Linked DNA regions of Xenopus tropicalis. The protein of the gene in region 1 interacts with the protein of each later gene in a pairwise test. Links are inferred from orthologs where the notes say so. Each region holds a gene or a part of one and is shown on either strand. Other genes may lie near its edges.

Evidence for each region. The genes of interacting proteins can lie anywhere in the genome.
Region 2: the proteins of lzts2 (region 1) and nck2 interact in binary tests that used the Homo sapiens proteins (3 or more experiments, as listed by UniProt). The two-hybrid records come from large-scale screens. The link is inferred for Xenopus tropicalis from reciprocal best matches to the Homo sapiens genes LZTS2 and NCK2.
Region 3: the proteins of lzts2 (region 1) and fkbp6 interact in binary tests that used the Homo sapiens proteins (3 or more experiments, as listed by UniProt). The two-hybrid records come from large-scale screens. The link is inferred for Xenopus tropicalis from reciprocal best matches to the Homo sapiens genes LZTS2 and FKBP6.
Region 4: the proteins of lzts2 (region 1) and gpank1 interact in binary tests that used the Homo sapiens proteins (3 or more experiments, as listed by UniProt). The two-hybrid records come from large-scale screens. The link is inferred for Xenopus tropicalis from reciprocal best matches to the Homo sapiens genes LZTS2 and GPANK1.
Region 5: the proteins of lzts2 (region 1) and thap7 interact in binary tests that used the Homo sapiens proteins (3 or more experiments, as listed by UniProt). The two-hybrid records come from large-scale screens. The link is inferred for Xenopus tropicalis from reciprocal best matches to the Homo sapiens genes LZTS2 and THAP7.

Annotation. Positions count from the first base shown.
Region 1 is NC_030683.2:29,793,038-29,796,537, forward strand, and holds part of lzts2 (leucine zipper putative tumor suppressor 2 homolog), read left to right. Parts: intron 1-2,307; coding exon 2,308-3,012; 3' UTR 3,013-3,500. UniProt on the Homo sapiens protein: Negative regulator of katanin-mediated microtubule severing and release from the centrosome. Required for central spindle formation and the completion of cytokinesis.
Region 2 is NC_030678.2:110,108,230-110,112,442, forward strand, and holds the start of nck2 (cytoplasmic protein NCK2), read right to left. Parts: upstream 2,801-4,213; 5' UTR 2,758-2,800; intron 1-2,757. UniProt on the Homo sapiens protein: Adapter protein which associates with tyrosine-phosphorylated growth factor receptors or their cellular substrates. Maintains low levels of EIF2S1 phosphorylation by promoting its dephosphorylation by PP1.
Region 3 is NC_030678.2:41,855,481-41,859,778, reverse strand, and holds the start of fkbp6 (inactive peptidyl-prolyl cis-trans isomerase FKBP6), read left to right. Parts: upstream 1-1,498; 5' UTR 1,499-1,586; intron 1,587-3,825; coding exon of another isoform or gene 3,826-3,852; coding exon 3,853-3,943; intron 3,944-4,298. UniProt on the Homo sapiens protein: Has an essential role in spermatogenesis. It is required to repress transposable elements and prevent their mobilization, which is essential for the germline integrity.
Region 4 is NC_030684.2:74,607,847-74,612,066, forward strand, and holds the start of gpank1 (G patch domain and ankyrin repeat-containing protein 1), read right to left. Parts: upstream 2,801-4,220; 5' UTR 2,727-2,800; exon of another isoform or gene 2,717-2,726; intron 119-2,716; 5' UTR 113-118; coding exon 1-112.
Region 5 is NC_030683.2:102,966,175-102,970,237, reverse strand, and holds the start of thap7 (THAP domain-containing protein 7), read right to left. Parts: upstream 2,801-4,063; 5' UTR 2,639-2,800; intron 2,579-2,638; exon of another isoform or gene 2,554-2,578; intron 271-2,553; 5' UTR 244-270; coding exon 164-243; intron 1-163. UniProt on the Homo sapiens protein: Chromatin-associated, histone tail-binding protein that represses transcription via recruitment of HDAC3 and nuclear hormone receptor corepressors.

The DNA of each region.
Region 1 (3,500 bases):
ATGTGGACTCTCTGTTCTGTATAACATAGTTCTCTCACGGGCCAGTTATTTTTAAAGGGAAACTACACTACTACAATGTTGCTTGCACCATCAGAGGAAAGTTCATCTGCAGCTTTTTTTGTAGTCATCAGGGCAGATGTTCCCAGGTATAGTGCTTTGCACACAAATCAACAAGGAATGACGCAATAGTCCTGCCACCACGTGCTGCCCGCTGAAAGTGCATCGGGCGATTCCCGAGGTGTTAAACCCGGTAGTCTCTCTTGCTGACCTTTGGGTGGAGCTGTCGGGCAGTAAAGCTTAAGTCTCATCAGAACTTAGCTACTCATCTGCTGTATCTGCTGCAGGTACAAAAGCTGGGCCCAGTTACCAAATTACCCAGCCATCTTTCATTTAATTGCAGTTAGAGGCATTCAACCTATGGCTAATAGTGATAAGGCGCCTAATGATTTGTTTAAGCATTTTCTTACTTGAGTTGTTAGTAAAGTTTATTCTGGGGAAAAGCTAAAACTACTTTCTTTCTGATGGTATTTTGGACATAATGTCACCCTAACCTACATCTGGAGAATCCTTATTGTCTGCATAGTCCCATCAGCAACATGTTCTATATATAGGTCAGGCTGCCTTATTTACAACTATATGTGTTTCCAAAGAGCAGAGATTTCCTTTAGCAGGAAATTCAGTAAACTAAATTTTATAGAATTGAATCTGTAGAACTCTTTTACTTATGCGTTTCCCACAAACCAATGCAATTACTGCCATTTCATTCTTTGTTTTATTGCAAAACCCCAAAGCTCTTTACTGGCACTTCCACTTGTTATGGCCTCTAAGGAGCGCAAATGCATGGACCTAAATAGCTGCTTGATAATCAGTCTTGTCATATAAAAGACACATCGATATCAAAGAAAATATCATGGGGAGGGAGAGCTGAATGGCATATTTCAAGGTTAAAAGAAGGCCTGTTTCACTGTGCACACGTCTATTTAAGGCTGTTTATCTTATTTATACATAAATACAATATGAATATGAGATCTAATTTAATATAAAATGAATGAGATCTAATATCCAGAAACCCATTATCCAGAAAGGACCTAAACAGTACTGCCATCTTCCAATGTTCCATGGAGCAGTTTAAGGGAAATATGCATATATATCCTAATGGTTCCATTTTTTCCTCTGTAATAGGAATGATGGTAACTAAGCTACCATAAAAATATATATTGGTGGCAAAGTAACTCTTTTGGTTTTTTACATTTTTATACTTCTAGATATGGTATCTATTAGCTGGAGTGCTCAGAACCTGGGGTTTCCGGATAAGGGGTTTTATTGAAATTTAGATCAACATACCTTGAGTCTTCTAAAACCATGAAATTAACCCAATAGGATTGTTTTGCCACCAATATGGACCCATGCAGCTTAGTTACCATGAAATGTGAATAAATGTTTACATTGGACTGTATGGGGGACGGCTTTTCTGTAATTCAGGGCTTTCTGGATATTGGGTTGGTTTCTGGATAAGAGATCTCATACCTGTAATGTATAAATATAAAGGACTCTGTCCTATCATTCACCTTAATGTATTTCTGTGAACATATAGTGTCCATCATAATTAGCATTCAAGCGGTTTCTCTCCGTATTTATCCACTGCTTTTGGTCCCCTTAGGACTAGTCTGAACCACATTTTAGGAAATTATAGCCTAATTGATGTTTCTAGTGAATGGATTACCTTAAAAAAGCACCCAGTGCCAGAGGCATTAATACAGTAACATTCATTCACTGTAAGCACTGACACAGTAACACTAAAAAATACGTTTTTGTAATGAAAATATAATGTAGTTTTGCCCTGCACTCGTAACAGTGGTGTGTTTGAAACCCTACTATAGTTTATATGGAGAAAAGGAGATAACCAACAGGCTCTGTAGTATACACTTTAATTATACTACTGTTATCTGCTGTGTATCCTGTATCTGAATGGCTGCCCCCATTGCTTACACAGCAACTGTGTAGTAATAACACCCCTGTTATACATTATATTAGCATTCCTAGTGCAACCAACTGCTCAATCCAGGACCCACAGTTCTAGTCAGTTGTGTCTGGCATGAACACGTTTTAGGGAGACAGAGCTCAATAATAAAACAGCACCAGAGTATTAAAGTAGAACGTTGGACATTTGCAGCAGGTTCCGATACCGAGAGTAACCAATCAGATTGCTTTCACTGGTGATTAGAAGATGCTGCTTTGGTTGATAACAGGCTACTAAAACTTTTCCCAACTTTGCAGCTATTAACAGTTCCTATGTAATTCTCGTAGGTTTGCCAGAAATCTGGTGAAATATCATTGCTGAAGCAACAGTTGAAGGACTCCCAGGCTGAGCTGGCACAGAAATCTAATGAGATACTGCTGCTTCGGGCTCAGGTGCGAGAGGCTCGATCCGACCTCCAGATCAGTGAAGAGCAGGTACAGGAGCTGCAGGACACGGCGCACACCAAGACACTGGAGCTGGAGGTGTGCGAGAATGAACTCCAACGCAAAAAGAATGAGGCAGAGTTGTTGCGGGAGAAAGCCAGCAAGTTAGACCAGGAAGTAGCCGGCCTAAGGGAAGCAGCAGTAGCCAACCTGCGCCATGGACTATGCCTTTGCCATGAAAAGGAGGACCCTTTCTTATTATATGAAAGTGACGAGGCCAAAGCGCAGCGGCAGAACGCAGACAACCTGCAGGGCTTGCAGCAGTATGTGGAGCGTCTCAGGGAAGCCCTAACAAGCGAACGCAGGAGATATCAGGAGCAAGCTGACAGCTTTGAAGATGAGCGGCGAATATGGCAAGAGGAAAAAGAGAAGGTGATCCGTTATCAAAAACAGCTGCAGCATAACTATATCCAGATGTACCAGCAGAACCGCGAGCTGGAGAGGGACATTAAGCAGCTCTCCTTAGAACTGGAGGCAAGAGAACTGGACGAGTTTGACTTGCACGGGGCCGAAATCCAGTTTGAGGAAATCACAGCTACAGAAATCTGAAGCCAGTGAATATGCAGAGCTACCACAAATGCCTTTATACACGCCGACAACATTCCAGCCAATGGCTTTGCCAAAACACAGCTACTAAACACTCACACAAGCTCTTCTTCATTGTCACTCAGACTTACAGTGGATAAACCATACTCAGTGTTTTGACAGGGAACCATAGGTTTATGGACTGCACATTAACACTACATGCAACGAGATTTCTAATTGGCAGATCTTGAACACTCATACAAAGTATAGTATTAAGGAGCCATATGTATATATATATATATATACTGTATACCTGCTCACAAGTTATACTATATGGACCAAAGGAACTTGTGTCATTGAATAAGAAATGTATGATACTATGTACAGCACTTATGTATGTGTTTGCATAAAAACCTGCTCCCTTGTCATGGCGTGTAACAGAATTTGAGGTACTGTCATGGAGCACAAAGGTGCCATTATGTTAAGTCTGTTCAGTACTTTTCAGTATTCCT
Region 2 (4,213 bases), on another chromosome or scaffold:
AGTCCTATAATGTTTAATACCTGTAGTGTATTTTTTTTTTTTTTTTATGTGTAGAGATCCATGCCCCTTAAAGCTACTGTACCATAATAATATATCGGCCATCTGCTATGCCAATTGAGTTCAAAATCTATAGAACAACTGCATAAAAAGTGATCTTAAAATAAACACATGTTGTTCTACAGCATCATACTCACAAGACTGTGCGTAAGCACCTGCATTGCACTGTATTTTTAATGCTCCTTGCTCTGTTTTCAATCAGCTGTAAACCAAAGTTTGCAATGCAGTCTGTGAAAGCACATTTATAGCCTATGTATATTTCAACATCTGCTGCCACCCACTGAATCTAAACACACCACAAATGGCCAGTGAACATGGAGAGACTGTGGAACACAGAATACTGAAAAAGAATCTCTGTATCAGGAGACTAAAAACAGAAAAAAAGCTTACCTGCTACCTGAAACACATTCCTTTTCTCCATCTGCAGTTACATTTTACAATGTATGCATGGCAATATCCTAGTTGTTGTATAAAGTGATCACTTATACATACTACTGTCACACATACATAACTACAAGCATGGACAAAATATTGTGCATTTATAATCATATTGAAAAAAACAAACAAACATACACCCTATGTGTTTAATGCAATGCACATTAATATTTCAGATGCATGTGGATACACATCCTGCAACAGTAGTTGCCAAACTGTGGGTATGGCCTCACAGGGAAGTACTAGAAGTACTAGAAGGGAGGGCCAAGCCTTAAAGTCAATTTTGGATAAGGAAACCCTGATTCACTGAATGGTGCCAATATGTTAGGAATGCTATATACTGGCTGCAGTATCAGGTATTTCTACCTCAGCAGAGTACAAATGGAAATTTTTACCCTACTGCATATACATCTCAGTCTAAATCTAAAGCAGGACACCTGGGTAATGTAACTAAGATGGCAGGGGTGGCATTTATTTTATATGCAGGCTAACAATTCACCTTGCATGGCCATACCCTTAAGAGTAAATGCTTATCAACTATATTGGGCATGCCTAGAATTTCAGTAAGTGCATGTGTACTTATATTTGTAAACTTATTAGGAGCCAAGGAGGGGGCTGTACCCAGAGGTGATCAGTTGGATTGAGATCAATCTTTTTCGCTTGCATCTCAGCAAACCAATTTGTGCAAGATGGGTATTAATATACTAGACATAAAATGACCTTGCCTAAACTGTTGCCACAAAGTATAAAGAAAGAAATGATCAAGAATGCCATTGTTCACTGAAGCTTTAAGCTTTGCTTTTAATAAGACCAAGAACCCTATCCCAGACCATTAAAAAGTGGACCCAGACACCTATTCATTTCCAGCTTTATTGTCACCCTTACACATTCAAGCAGGTAGTAGTCCTACTTGCATCTACCTTACCCAGACTAGACTAAGTCAGACGGGCAAATGCGAGGAATGATTCATGCCTTGAGAGAGGCATCTTCCACCTCCTTGGAGTCCAGTGACATAGATCTTTACACCACTCCTGCCAACACATGGCATCACACATAGGGGTATATTTATCTTGCTGTGTAAAAAGTAGTGATATTGCCCAAGGCAACCAATCAGCAAGCAGATTTCAACAGTTAGAAAACCAAAGCACCTGATTGGCTGCTATGAGCAACATCACCGGTAATGTTTCACTCCACATACTCGTACACAGCAATATAAATAAATCCCATAGTGTTGTGTGCTGCTGCTCAACAGAATAAACACTTCTGATGAATAGTTCTAGTGCTGACATTGCATCCAGAGACAGCTTGGAATCCAGCAGCAAATGTGTTAATACTGAGAATATGTGATAATAGAAGGGTATTCACCCCACCAATAAAACCTAAAATGCCCAAATTCAGCAGCCCTCAGTTATGTCCAACCTTCTTTAGCCTTTGAACTCTAATTCCCAGCAGCCCATGCCAGCCCACATACACCTAGCTGCCACATGCTGGAGGTGGTGCATGATAGGAAACAACTGTGGGGCTGCAGGTTGGCCCTGCTTTGCACTTATCACAACCACTCAGCTTTAATATCAATGTGCGCTAAATCTGCGCCCCATCCCCGCCTTCAACTCATTTATTGTGCGAGGATCGAATTCATTTACAACTGCACTGAAAAAAAGAGTCCCTATTGCAAGAACTTACACGCCAGAAAGTAAAGGCAATAGCACAAAGGCTTCCCCCACGCACTAATGTATTCACACAGACAATATGCAGCGCTACAGACCCGCACACTGAATACAATCATTCGCATGTAACAGCAGCTCAGTGCGCGAAGCAGCTGCCTGGGGACCCTCAAAGGAAGGGCCAGCATCGGTGGCGAATGGGTGGGTGACTTCTGGGTCCTAAAGGGAACCGGCAGCGCTGCAGGATTACCGAGCCCGTTCATGTCAATGAGCTGCACACTTGTGAAGGGAGGGCGGGAGCGGGGTGCCAGCATGTTCTTTCTCCTACACAGCTTGTATTCTGCTTGTTCTGTCACAGAAGTTTTAGTCCCGGGAACTGAATAGGGTAGGAGGGAGTTTGAACTTCACCCCCAGCTTAACCAATCCAGCTCTACCGGGACTAAAGCTTCTGTCACAAAACCACTGGTACAGAAACCTATGTATGGGAAAGAACATGCTGGTACCCCAGCTCCCGCCCTGCCTCCCCAAGTCTGGAAGTAAGTGCATACTGCAACAGTCCCGCTGTTCCTCACACAGCCCTTAGTCCCGTATCGCTACTTACATCTCCCGAAGAGCTTGTTACTGCAGGCTCCGGTCCTACACACACTCCCAGCGCCACATCTCTCCTCACGCGAGACTGGCATCGCCGCTACACGTAACGCACTGACACATTGGCGCGCCGCCTTGTGGGAGTGACGAGCCGGCCTGGCTCAGTGTTACACGGTGGGAAGCTGCTAGGCAGCCGCGGTTGGTCAGCTCCCAATCTCTTTTTCCAATGCTCGCACCTCCTACTTTTGATAGAGAACAAAAGAAAAAAGACTTTTCTTTGGTGTTGGGTGACCGCCATGCTCGCTGCCGCCTCTGCCCCCGATGTTTCCTCAGAAGTCATTCATATTTTCTAGTCGGAGTTCTGAATTGTGACAGGGAACGAAAGAAAGACTTTGTCCTTGTTGCCAACAGTACCTGCTGCCATCAGAGCCTTGTCTCGAAAAGCCACTGATACACACTTTCATATTTTAGCTACCTGAAATTAATGTAGATATTAAGATGTTCATCAAAAAAAGAAAAAGAAGCAGTGCACAAGCTGTTGACATCACAATATTTATAAAGTTTGTGTATACACCTAGGGGCTGATTTACTAAGACACGATTTCGAATCCGAATTGGAAAAATTCCGATTGGAAACGAACATTTTGCGACTTTTTTGGTAATTTTGTGTTTTTTTCGTATTTTTTGCGATTTTTTCGTATTTTTTGCGATTTTTTCGGCGTCTTTACGATTTTTGCGGAAAAACGCGAGTTTTTCGTAGCCATTACGAAAGTTGCGCAAAGTCGCGATTTTTTCGTAGCGTTAACACTTGCGCGCAAAGTCGCACCTTTTTCGTAGCGTTAAAACTTAAAAGGCGCGACGTTTCGCGCAAGTTTTAACGCTACGAAAAAAATCGCGACTTTGCGCAACTTTCGTAATGGCTACGAAAAACTAGCGTTTTTACGCAAAAATCGTAAAGACGCCGAAAAAATCGCAAAGAAAACGCAAAATTACCGATTATTACGAAAAAAACGCAATCGGACGCATTCGGCCCGTTCGTGGGTTAGTAAATGTGCCCCCTAATCTATGCTAGTATTTTCATTAGATGAACAATTCTCCATATTATAATTATTTTCACAAATGGTACTTATTAGAAATCTTTTATAAATGTATAGTCGCTTTTGGGGTGCCAAGCTACATAATAGTCATTATAGTTATTGTGGACTAAAGCTGTCCAACCATAAAACATATTTTATTATACAGGGGCACTGCGGCCATAAGGCGAATTGAGAAACTCGTCTCAGGCAGCAGCAGCCCTCAAGTTTACCAGGGGCAGCAAAACGACGTTTAAAGAACTTAAAAGTAGAAGGAAAGTCATTTTGGCATTTTACTGCCAATAGAGTCGCCAAATTATTCTGCAGAAAGCTTTACCTACCTGAGTAAAAAGCCTTTTGTTTAAGATAGCAGCTGCCATTTTAGCTTGGTCTCCGT
Region 3 (4,298 bases), on another chromosome or scaffold:
AGCGTTTACCATTTCCTTATTCAAATGTAGCGCCTTCTCTATAACAATTAACATACAAAGCTATATGGCCTCTTATGCCTCTAAAGCCTTCATGAACTTGATGATTTTTGTGGTAAACTTTTTATTTTAAATGACACTGTTTACATAGCAAATAATTCACTCTGTCATTTAAAATTTTATTTTTAAACCAACATTTAATTAGTTGTAATATTGGTGTGTAGGTGCCATCTCAGTGCATTGTGCCTGAGTCTGAGCTTTCTGAAGGAGCCAGCGCTACATATTAGAACTGCTTTCAGATAACCTATTGTTTCTCCTGCTCCCATGCAACTAGAGTCTTTCAGAAGAAGCCAGCGCTACACATTAGAACTGCTTTCAGGTAACCTATTGTTTCTCCTACTCCCATGTAACTGGAGAACTTGGATTTCTTACTATTGAGTGCTATTCTGATACCTACTGGGAGCTGCCATCTTGCTCCCTTCCCATTGTTCTGCTGACCAGCTGCTAGGAGGGGGGGATATCACTCCAACTTACAGCACAGCAGTATAGTGTGGCTGAAGTTTATCAGAGCACAGGTCACATGGCTGTGGTACCCTGGGAAATGAAGAATATGGCTAGCCCCATGTGAAATTTCAAAATTAAATATAAACAATCTGTTTTTGAAAAACGGATTCCAATGCAGGATTCTGCTGGAGAAGCTCTATTAACTAATGTGTTTTGAAAAAAAACATGTTTTCCCATGACAGTATTCCTTTAATAAAATCCAGCTCAAGGTAAAGTACCTGCTAGCTAGATGTAAGGGGGTGGGGGCTTTGAAGGGTATATTTATATCCTCATATTAATATGCACTTCATATAAATATGCTTACACACAAACTGACTGCCCTTATGAATAGAGCACTGTATTGATGGGGTACACTCAGGTCTCTCTGCTACTTGTGTTGGTACTGTAATTATATGCTACAGCAGTGCAATTGCAAACGCCATAGCGGCTGCTGTGAGATGCCATAGACAGTGGGGGGGGGGGGTTGTTTGGACCCCTGTGATCTTGATATTTCAAGGCCTATTTTCATTTTAACCTGGGTAGAAAAAAATGTTTACTTTAGCACAAGCTTTATAGCACTTTAGGACAACAATTTCGCCTGGACTTTCACTGATTTACTTCCTAAATGATCTCCCATGCCCCACAGGCAAAGGCTTTCTGTTTGCCCATCCATGGCATTTCACTGGTACTTTCTATTTCCACTCCACCTACTAACAGTTTCTCAAAACATAACCAACTTCATCTTCCAGGCCAAGTGTGGCTCTCCATGGAATCCTATTACTGCGCGGCCACAACTAGCTCTCCTGCCCCCAATCATCACTTTGTAGGACCTCCCTTCAGAGCCGCTAACATACAGCTCACGTTGATTGGTGAGACGCCTGTCACATGACCAGGCCCGCCCAAAGAGCAAGTCTGAGAAAAGACCGCGGGGGAAGAAACATGATGGTGAGAGCGGCGGTGTTACCGAGTGTGTGGGACACGGGCTGTGGGGATGTGTGGCCGTGTAAAATCCCCACAATATATGCTTAGGAAAGCGCACAGAACAAGTTTGTCCATTAGGAACAATCGCATTTATAAACACAGCTTTCCTTATGGAAATGGAAACTTAGCACCTGGTGCAGGAGGTTAATGCCGGCAGTACCTGCGCCTGTTTGTCAGTGATTGGTACTTGAGGATAACATGTCTGCAAGAATTTATAGAATGTACATTTACAAGAATGTAAAATTTGATTTTGAACATAGGAATGAAGTTTGCCCTTGAATAAGTAAAAGGCTTTCAGAGTTATTAATCTACAAGTTTTCCAGAAACCACTTCCAGTGTAATTAGTAAATGTAATCAAAGTTTTAGTAAGTGCCCTAGTTACCCAGTGTGTCTCTTTATATAATTATATTACACATTAGATGCACCCCAATTCTACATTTAGGGTTCCCACATTATGATGTACTTGGAGCCTAGGAGAAAGCAAGTATGGGGTTCCTTATCCAGAGCCCATTATTAAGAAATGTCAGTATTATGGAAAGACCATCTTTCATAGATTCCATTTTAAACAAGTTTTTTTTTTTTTTTTTTAATCCTTTTTGTCTGTAATAATAATACAGTGCCTTGAACTTGATCCCAACTTGGGATCCCTATTGTAGGTGAACAATCCTGTTGGGTTTATTTAATGTTTAAGCTTTCTGGATAACAGGTCCCATTCCTGTATAATGTTCTGTGGTTGCTCGTACGCTGCCTGTGACTAGTTGTTAAAGCATAATGTGCATGAGTGAGAGCGGCCATTGTATAATGTACTGGGCTAACCAGTAGAAAGTAGTGTTTCTGTATATTGTGCTGGTGTTTTAGCCTGGTGTTGTCTATGAAATTAGTATATGTAAATATGGATTGGAGGCATTTTTCACCCATTTGCCATGCCCAAGAATTTCCCTATAATTGTTATAGGGAGCAGTATGTAAGTGTGTCTCATATTTTCTGCAATACCTTTTAGAGTTGTAGAGGAATTGTGGAACAAAAGATGCTTCATATAAATTCACATTAAGCCACTGGACACAGACAGCCCTGAATAAAATAGTACTGAATGGTGATGTTGGCACAGCTAGCATATCTAATGTTATACCTATTTGCCTATTAAATTGATTTCTGATCGCGCTTTTTAAGATGACAATATTTGGCAAGAGTCGCTTGTTTGGTGAGTTTGCCAGGCTCCTTGGGACAAACGATCAGGTTGCAATCACAGGAATAGGACCGTTGAAGCAAGGACCCCAATGCAGTCCCTGTTTCAAAGGAAAATTCAAACCTGCTCGATTGACACCTGGGCAATTTTCGCCACCTTTAGTGTCTCTGACATTTTAAACAGGGACTTGTCAAATATTTGACAATAAGACCTGCATCTTTAGGCCATCATATTTATACATTACGCTAATGGCACACAGGGTTGTGCAGAAATTCATTTCTCATTCATACAAGTGGTAAAAAATTCCCTTCCTTTTCCCTGTGTCTCAGCCCCTGATGGGATATTACATTGTAAAGGGAACATTTCCATTCTTCTAGCATGTTGCAAGTGGAAGTTATCCGTGCACCTTTCCAAATAACAATCTGGTTGCTGGCCTGGTAATCAAAAAGCAGATTGGGGCTGGAGGATATATTTTTTTTTTTTTAATTTGCTAATTTTTATGGCAATCTCCTATTTATCATTCTTTCTGACATTTGCACATGCCTGTCTGCTCTGGCCAGTGACAGCTTTAATATCCAACTGGAGAGAGAACAAACAAAAAAAGGTGAACTTTACCATTTTTTCATTGCATTTAATTTTTGTTTGTTCACCAAGCACCTACAGATGTATATCTTTCTGTCTAAGACCTAAGTCCTGCCGCACATGGAGTGTATGATCCACCAGCAGAGAAGTTTAAAATCGTGGCTTTTCAGTCTGTTATTTAATGAAATGAAATTGGTCACCTCGGCCACCTTTGTCACCATCTGGAAACCATCAGTGGAGAATCCGCCAAGTGTGCCGTAGGCCAAAAACCATTGTGTACTGAACAGTTTACCTCTTGTACTCTAAAGCCCAATTTCACCTTCAGTGGCTGCACCCATGGTTACACAGCCGTATATATAAGTGGAGTAGAGCTTTTGAAGCAAAAGCAGGAATTCATTGATCTGATTTGACCTTAAACCTTTTAAATAAAAAGTTCATGTACTGTAGATTATTGTTTTCAGGGGTATGTCTTGTTACTGATTTGTTATTCTGTAAAGCAGAACCATCTTTTACTGACCGGTGTGCTTTCATTGTAGTCTGTATTTCATCAGCTGGCACAGCAAATGGAAGATGTATCTGGAGACAGAGGGGTGCTGAAAGAAGTGATTCGGCCCGGAAAAGGAGGGAAGGTTCCCTGTGATGCAACAGTAATACGTAAAAAGCTCCTGCAGTACCATATTTACATATAGAAACTGGCAAGCCCTTGGACATATTGCTATATAATAGATATATGCATTATACTATGATATTGGTTGTTTCTGTTAAGGACGGTAAAGACCCTTTACAGTACAATTTCAATGAGCAGGACTTGTGCTGAACATACTTTTTTCCTATTATTTTAATAACAAAAATGTTTTTTATGATCTTTTAGATAATCAGATTCCCAGTGCACAGATAATCCCTCTGCATAATGGACATTTGTTTATCTGTGGTATGAGAATCTAATTATCTGTGATGTACACAATGTCATTTATCTCTGATGGCCCTGGCACTACCATAAAATGTCATC
Region 4 (4,220 bases), on another chromosome or scaffold:
TTATATTTTTATTGGATGCATTGAGATCTTTTTTATTACTGCACTCTCCATTCTCCCAAAAATCCGATTTGTCCCGGGCTTTTGTAAAAGTAATAAGCTGAAGATGATTCATTTTTTTCTGCCAAAGAAGAATATATAAATATGTTAAAATATATTAAATGTAACAATTTTTATGTGATTTCTGAAGGCCTAATTAAATTAATATAATTAAATTAGATCACTTAAAAGACAGCCCATGATCATTTTGTAATACTTTACTATATGCTTCTAGCATACCTTATGTTAAAACGCTGCATAACATTTGCAGCACAACAGAATTCATTAATATCGGAGTTTATCAACCTGCAACCTTGAATGCTCAAACATGCAACACAATGAAAACTTAAGGGCTGCATATAGGGCATTTGGGTTTGAGGGACAAGGCACACACAAGTAAGAATCAGATTAAAACTACCCATTCTTAGTTCGATTTTCACAATAAAAAGTAACTTTGCTGACTTGCATAAGGTATTGCTATTAAAAGAGAAAATTTAAGATGTGTCTTTAAAGGAGAAGGAAAGGTAAAAACTAAGTAAGCTTTATCAGAAAGGTCTATGTAAATACAGCCATAAGCACTCACAGAAACATCTGCACTGAGTTCTCTGTCAAAAGAAACAGGATTTGTTGTCTCTTTGTTTTCCTGTGCTAGAGACACGCAGCTCTCTCCTGCTCCCCCCACCCACAAGAATGTGTGATCTGAGACAATCAGCAGGAAGCTTCCTCATAGTCTTACACACTGAGCATGTACGCTGGTCTTGGTGCAGGAGCGAGGCATTATGGGAATTTTGTTTACAGAGCTCAGAATTTTTTTTTTTCCCTATGAAGCTTCTGATCATCTGAACAGGAGAAATATGGGAAGACTTAAGGGCACTATTGAGAGAACTGAAGGTATGCCTGCAGCTTTTTTTAGCCTTTCCTTCTCCTTTAAATAAACTGTGACTTAAGGTGGCCATACACGTTACAATAACAATCTTTCCTGCTACCAGTGGTTGCTGGAAAGATCGTTAGTCCACTCCACTAACATTAAGAGCTGAATTGTCAGATATGCAGGTAGAAACAATAGAATTATAATATACAGTTTGGTCAGTTCCCTATGGGACCAAACTGTAAATTATATCCATATAAATGGTGCTTAGTGATGTCATCAGTTATAATCAGAGCTAAGTGATGTAATTTCTGGCACATGACTCACTAAAACTTGTATATTATAATACAGTACCCCCTCTTGTAAAATATGAGGATATTAGAAGTCACCTCAGCGTTCCATGACCTGTATAAAAGCACTCGGCTTTGACCTTGTGCTTTTATATTGTCATGGAACTCTTTGGTGACATATAATACCCCTATATTTTACAATAGGGGGTACTTTATTCACTATCTATCCCTATCTGACAATTCAGAATTAACCTACCTTCAAAGGCATCCAATCAGAATTTCCTATCCTTGCCCACTGACAAGAAGACCAATATCCAAGGCTTTTGCCAAAATCGTTTACCTCATCAAACCCAACTTACATGCACTGAATATCGTACTAAACCTTGTTTCTGACTGACAAAAGAAATAACTGGACCAGCACTCTCTTATGTGTAAATAAACCTGTGTGAATGTATTTCTTTACAACCCTATGCCCAACATTTCTGTCCTCATTTGGATCTTTCTTAATTATCCTTGAGAACAAGAGTTATTGGATGTACAGCATGAAAGTTATTTCCGATCATAACCACTCCGACTGGGTGTTTCTGCACAGGCAGAGAAACAGCCTAGCGTGATATTAGCTTTAGGGCTGAATGTGTGGAACAACAGAAAGTTGGTTATACTATGTATGGTGCCTCATATATTATAAGTGACCTACAGCACTTATATTTGCCTATTTGTGTCTGTAAGTTACCCTACCATATAGATTGTAAGCTCTACGGGGCAGGGACCTCCTTCCTCTTGTGTCCTCGACTCTTAACTTATTGCAGCTGTATTTATCTGTATTTATTGTTTTACTTTGTATTTATCTATTATTATCTTATTAACACCCTGTTTGTATTAATGTATTCTACTGAACAGCGCTGCGTACATAAGTAGCGCTTTATAAATAAAGATATACATACATCATTATAAGCCTGTGTAAGAGCAGCTTGTTAGACGTCATACTGCGGACAAGCCCTCATGTCGTAGCACACCATTTTAATAAAGGTGGCCATATGGAGCAGATTTTAGCTGATTCAGCTTCTTCAGTCTGAGCCGCAACTTATGTACCAGTCTATGGGGCCCGCCAACAGGCTGACCTGATTTTTGGTCAGATATTGATTGGACAAGTTTAAAAATCTCATCTGGTTAATGACTGCATTGGCTCGTTGCTGCTGACCACATTGGCTTGCTGTGATCAACCTCAAGGTGGACAATATCAAAGATCCACTCATTTAGCAACCTTACTAAACGAGTGGATCTTTCAATGTACGGCCAGCTTTACCTACTAGATAGGACTGTGTCCTCCCTCTGAAGGTTACGTTAGAAATGAAATTAAACTGCAGTTTTCTTAACAAAACTAATATGGTTTTATTCAGTGCAATTGATATATTCATCTAAAATACTCTTCAGCTAGAGAGAAAGTAATTCTTATTGCCCATGGCCTGTTGTAAAAATACAGAAATCTTCCTGGGTATAAGAATGCTGAAGGGAAACATACACTCACATACCGACGTAGCCCACTTTTCTTAACACAGGACGCACTTCTAAATGGCTGCTAAATGTCCCACAACGCCATTCAAATATCCAGCTCCTCGGTTCCGGCAAACCTGCTCTCCCAGAGATACCTCACACTCTCGCGAGATGAGACTGTGACGCCACAACTGGAGCGTATGGGAGCGTCAGTGCGTAAGCGTCACTTGTGCTAAACAACGTTCAGTGGTTCTGTGTTACAGTAGAGCACGTTGCTGGTACGCTGCCTCAGCAGCTAGTAACGCGCGGTTATGTATGCCAGGGCAGCCATATATCTGCTCACAGTTTGTTTTAGCTGCACGCCCCGCCTGCTTTTGTCAAGAAACACAAAAATAAAAACATTTTTTAATATTGTTGTAATTACCTGCAGTGTCTTCTGCAAGCAGAGCCTTCGTTATCAATGTTTGATCGGAAATAGTTCTATCTCTTGTGCCAGGGAGCAAAGTAATAACACGTTATTGGTGGTCTACAGCAGCCGAATGCAGACAGATTTCACATGCACGTTTAAATGTCTTGTCTTTTGTGTTTAGGTGCCCATGCACCCAGCTAGAAGGGCTGAAACTGCGCAGTAAGCAGTCCGACATCGTCAGAGCCCTCCCAATACATGTTAGAGCAGGGAAAAAGCACTAAGCACTATTTATTTTTGTTCTTTAAATGGCAGATATATTACTCTGCCCCAGACAACTGTACAGCTAGCTGGAGGAAAGGTTGTGCATGCAGGACCAGAGAAAATGTCAGCACCGATTATGTTTTCACTAAATTTATGAAAAGAGAATTGTGAAAAATGTTAAAGTGCACTTTAAAGCATTTAAAGCAATGTAAGCTCCAAATGTCCTTGGTTGCCTGTAATTACACTACTGGCATTGAGCTACTGTGGCACCTACCATGGCCAGGATCTTTATGCCACAATATATGTGTTGTTTTAGGGAAATGGGTTCCAAGAAAGCCTTCGCTGTACCTGTAAATATTTGTCCACGTAAAAGGCTGAATCCAATTCATAAAAGTAGGAGAGACAGGTATTTGCAGACATTTAAACTGCAACTTATTCACATTATATGTTGTTTTTTTCTAGGATGAAGTTAGTAAATACAAGCTGTGTCACCTTGCTATGCAGGGAGTAGGTTTATACAGTATGTACATTGTGTAAATGGTTCCCAGAGGAATTGCACTGTTCATGCATTAAACCTACACAGGCGTCACACTGGTGGTGGCAATCCAAGATGGTGAATGCAAAGTTGTAGGGAAAGGAAAAGTGCTGGTACTGTATGAAAGATGTTGCATGAAAACTATAGGGGCTTGGGGCTATATACACGAACAAAAGAAATGTCAGCTCATCTGGAATTTTTTACGCCAATTCGTGCAGTAATGGCCCAGTCACCTGATGTCAGTTATTTGCACTGGAATCTTTTTCTTACCCCACTATTAAACAGCATGGAAGTTGCACCTGAAGTCTTTAGAAGCAGCCAGAGCAG
Region 5 (4,063 bases), about 73 Mb from region 1:
GTACATTAGAGGGGATTATAGGCAGATGGGGGATGTTCTTTTTTCCCATAAAAACAATCAGCGCACCAGAGGCCACCCCTTTAGATTAGAGGAACGGAGCTTCCATTTGAAGCAGCGTAGGTGGTTTCTCACGGTGAGGGCAGTGAGGTTGTTACATACATACCGATGGAAAGTTATACCCTTGCGCTTGCTTAGTGCCGTCTGACGGTTGACGCAGTCAGCAGCAGAACATGATCGCACCATTTCGTAGTTTTCAAATAAGAATCTTATCTAAAACAAAAAATAAGGCAAATAAATCTAAACAAAATCACCATAGTTAGATTTTGCTTGCAGTTGAAAATTCCACTCAAGAAGCGACTATTAAAGGAGAAGGAAAGGTAAGCATTAGCAGAAAGGTAAAGTAAATACAGCCATAAGCACTCACAGAAACGCTGCACTGAGTCATCTATTAAAAGAAACACAGGATTTGTTGTCTCCTTTTTTGTAAACATGTTCTCAGGGTATTTGACTCCCTTCTTTAAGAAAAATCCTTCATTCCTGGGGCCAGAGTCTGTGCAGCTCTCTCCTCTCTCCCTTAAGAATTCAAAAAACTCACTCCCCCCACCCTTAAGCTTCTAGGGTTCTTTACTCAGGTATGATAAAGCTGTCTACAGAATAAATATAGCATTCTAGGTGGCACTTTTGTGGCAAATCTATTGGCAGTAAAATGCCAAAATAACTTTCCTTCTCCTTTAAAAAACATCAGAGTAGTTCAGCAAACAGGACAGCATGGATATGAATTCTGCCTTGCAGTACTAAGCTGGATCCAAGCCAGGGCACTATCTGCAAAGACTCTATATTCTTCCTGTGTTAGTGTGGGTTTCCTCCCAGCATTCCAAAAACATACATGGTTCTTGATTAAATGGACCCTTGTGTGCACAAATGTGATAGGGACCTTGGATTATACATTTCACTGGGGCAGGGTCTGAAGTGATTGATGTATAATCTCTATAACACACTGCAGGAATGTGTCAGTGCTATGTAATTACAATTATAGTAAAGAAATAACAAACCTCAATGACTAATACACAGGAGTGCTATTATGAGATAATGCAAAAGGTCTCATTACACAATTTCAATTTATTTTCTTATTCCACTTTTTGTGTTTCTAGTCCAGCAGAAAATGTCAAACCAAAAAGTGAATTCATCTTTTAGTCACTCAGTCAGTGTGAACAGATAATAGTTTAAATACTGGTGAGCTGTATAGCAAAATATTAAATCAATAAGAAATAATGAATGTTAAGTAAGGCAGTCCAACTGCAAATTCTCTCATAACAGCTCTCGTTAGCAGGGCCCTCTAACCCTGCTGTTTATGCTGTTACCCATCCATGTTTACTGTAAGGGCTCTGGCACACGGGGAGATTAGTCGCCCGCGAACAGGGAGTTTTGCCGCGGGCGACTAATCTCCCCGTGTTCCAGAGCCCTAAGACTCCTGATGCTGATTTTATAGAAATAAGTTAGGACATGGATGTAGTGGAACAAGAACACAGCAAAATGATAAATCAATCCAGCCCTTTCCTGGGAGTGCCCCGTACAGTATGCAGCCTTCAGCTGGACAGCCACCTTATATTTTCATCATCCTGAACTTACTAAACATTACTTTTAATGTGAAAATGCATTTTCATGAATGCAACAAATGAAATGCCACCGGAAATATGAAGCTGCACCTAGCTCCGTAGTGAAACTCAGAATAGGCTCGGGCACATCAAGTACAGGTATGGGACCTGTTTTCCAGAATGCTCGAGACCTGGGGTTTTCTGGATAAGGGATCTTTCCGTAATTCTCCATAACTTAAGTCTGTTAAAAATCTTTTAAATATTGTTCTGCCCCCAATAAGGAGTAATTATGTCTTAGTTGGGATCAAGTACAAGCTACTGTTTTATTATTACAGAGAACAAGGAAATCTTTTTTAAAAATTAGAATTATAGGCTTATAATGGAGTCTATGGGAGATGGCCATTCCATAATTCAGAACTTTCTGGATAAGGGGTTTGCAGATAAGGGATCCCATACCTGTACACAGAGGCCCAAAATGACCCCTCCACCACCAGCCCAATAAATAGTGAGTGTCTATGGCATCTTACAGCAGCCTCTCTGGCATTTGCCAGAACCCACAGATTGCCAGTCCGGGCCTGCCTGCTCCCCCCTTCCAACAAGAATGGGTCAAGCTGCTGGCACAGGGTGGCATTGGCACAAACAGCTGGTAGGGTGGGAGCAACCAAAACAACAGGGTGACTGTAATGCTTCCCTTGCATTTTCATATGTTTTTTTGTTTTCGGGTCATCCACTGCTTATATCCCATTCTGCTTTACAAACTACTCCCTGGTTGCTAGGCTAATAATTCTAATAAGACATATACCAGCTGCGATTTGCTTGGAATTCGATACAATGCTACAAAGTTGCTTTTTAGGGAGAGCGGATTTATCTTTGCACATGAAACAGCAGACTTTTTAGCAAGGGATTATCTCACATGACTTCTGCCCACATCACTTCATCCAACTCAAATCACATTTACCTTGGAGTTTCTAACGTTATATAAAGGGTAGAGACAGCAAAGAATATAAGGTGTAAGACTCAACCTCTAACTAAACTGCATCTACCTCCCAACTGTCCCGCTTTTGGCGAGACAGCCCCGACTTTCATAACACAGCCCGCAGTCCCGGATCGCTTCTTAAATGTCCCCCATCGCCGTTTAAATATCCCGCATCGCCGTTTCGATGCCTAGCTCCTGGGCTCCTGTCGGCCTACTTTCCGAGACTTCCGTCACGCTCTCGCGAGATGAGACTGTGACGTCACGGCCAGACACTATATAAACGCAAGGTAGGGCTGCTGCCACTAGGTGGAGTAGCGAGTAGAACGTTGTTTGAGCAGCAGTGCATATAGTTATTACACTGAAACACGCTGATAGTAACACATGGTTTCCCACCATTTATTTTGTTCTGTGCTCACTGTTCTTGCTTGTGTCAATAGCTGCCAGCATTACCAAGTTGTTGAAAAAAAGTATGCCTTCCCCCCCCCTTCTTAGAACTCCCATTTGTGCTATGGAGCAATAATGTTTTCTTGTAAACTAAGAGTACTTGCTGCCACTATAACCTCTGCTTCCAATATTTGACCTACAACAAATTTTCTAAATGAGTTTTTTCACCTTGAATTAACTCTTAGGGGGAGATTTAAAAAGACACGAACGATCGCTCCGAGCGCATTTTCGCCGATTTTTTCGCGCTTACGTGACTTTTTTGTACACTTGCGCGAAAAATTCGGAAAGGTTCTGCCGCTGTTTACAATCGTTCGGTAAGAAAATTTCGTGACTTTCGGATCACCAATACGATATTATCGTGACTAATACGATTTTTTCGCAAGCATTTTCGTGATATTTGCAATCTTCAGAAATTATCGTATCCAATCCGAATTTTTCCCATTCGGGATTTGAACTTGTGTTTTAATGAATCGGCCCCCTAGTATGATGTAGAGAGTAATATTCTGAGACAATTTGCAGTTGGTCTTCATTTTTTTGTTTGTAGTTTTTTTAATAATTTCAATGATTTTTCAGCAACTCTCGGGTTTGGAGTTATAACAGCTATCTGGTTGCTAGGGTCCAAATTACCTTAGCAATCAGGGAGTGGTTTAAATGAGAGCCTGATATATGAGTAGGAGAGGGATTAAATAGAAAAAAAAAGGTTATAAAAAGTAATAATAAGATTGTAGCATCACAGACCAACAGAAGACCAAGTGAAAAGTTGCTTATGTTATGGCTGAGCCAGCACAGCAGGGGTTAACCTGCGGAGTGCAGCAGGTTAACCCCTAGTGGCTAGTACGGTTTCAAGTTGTCCATGACATACTTCATGGGCAGTTTTAAAGACATACTGACACCAGAAATTAAGCTTTTTTTATGTCTATCATAAAATTGTCTTTGAATGCTATTTATAATTTTGCTATAAAAGTATTGGCTTGATGCTCTACCTATCTGATCCCCCATGTTCCTCTGAGGGGGCTGCCATATTAGTGAGGCAGGAGTCTGTTAGCTA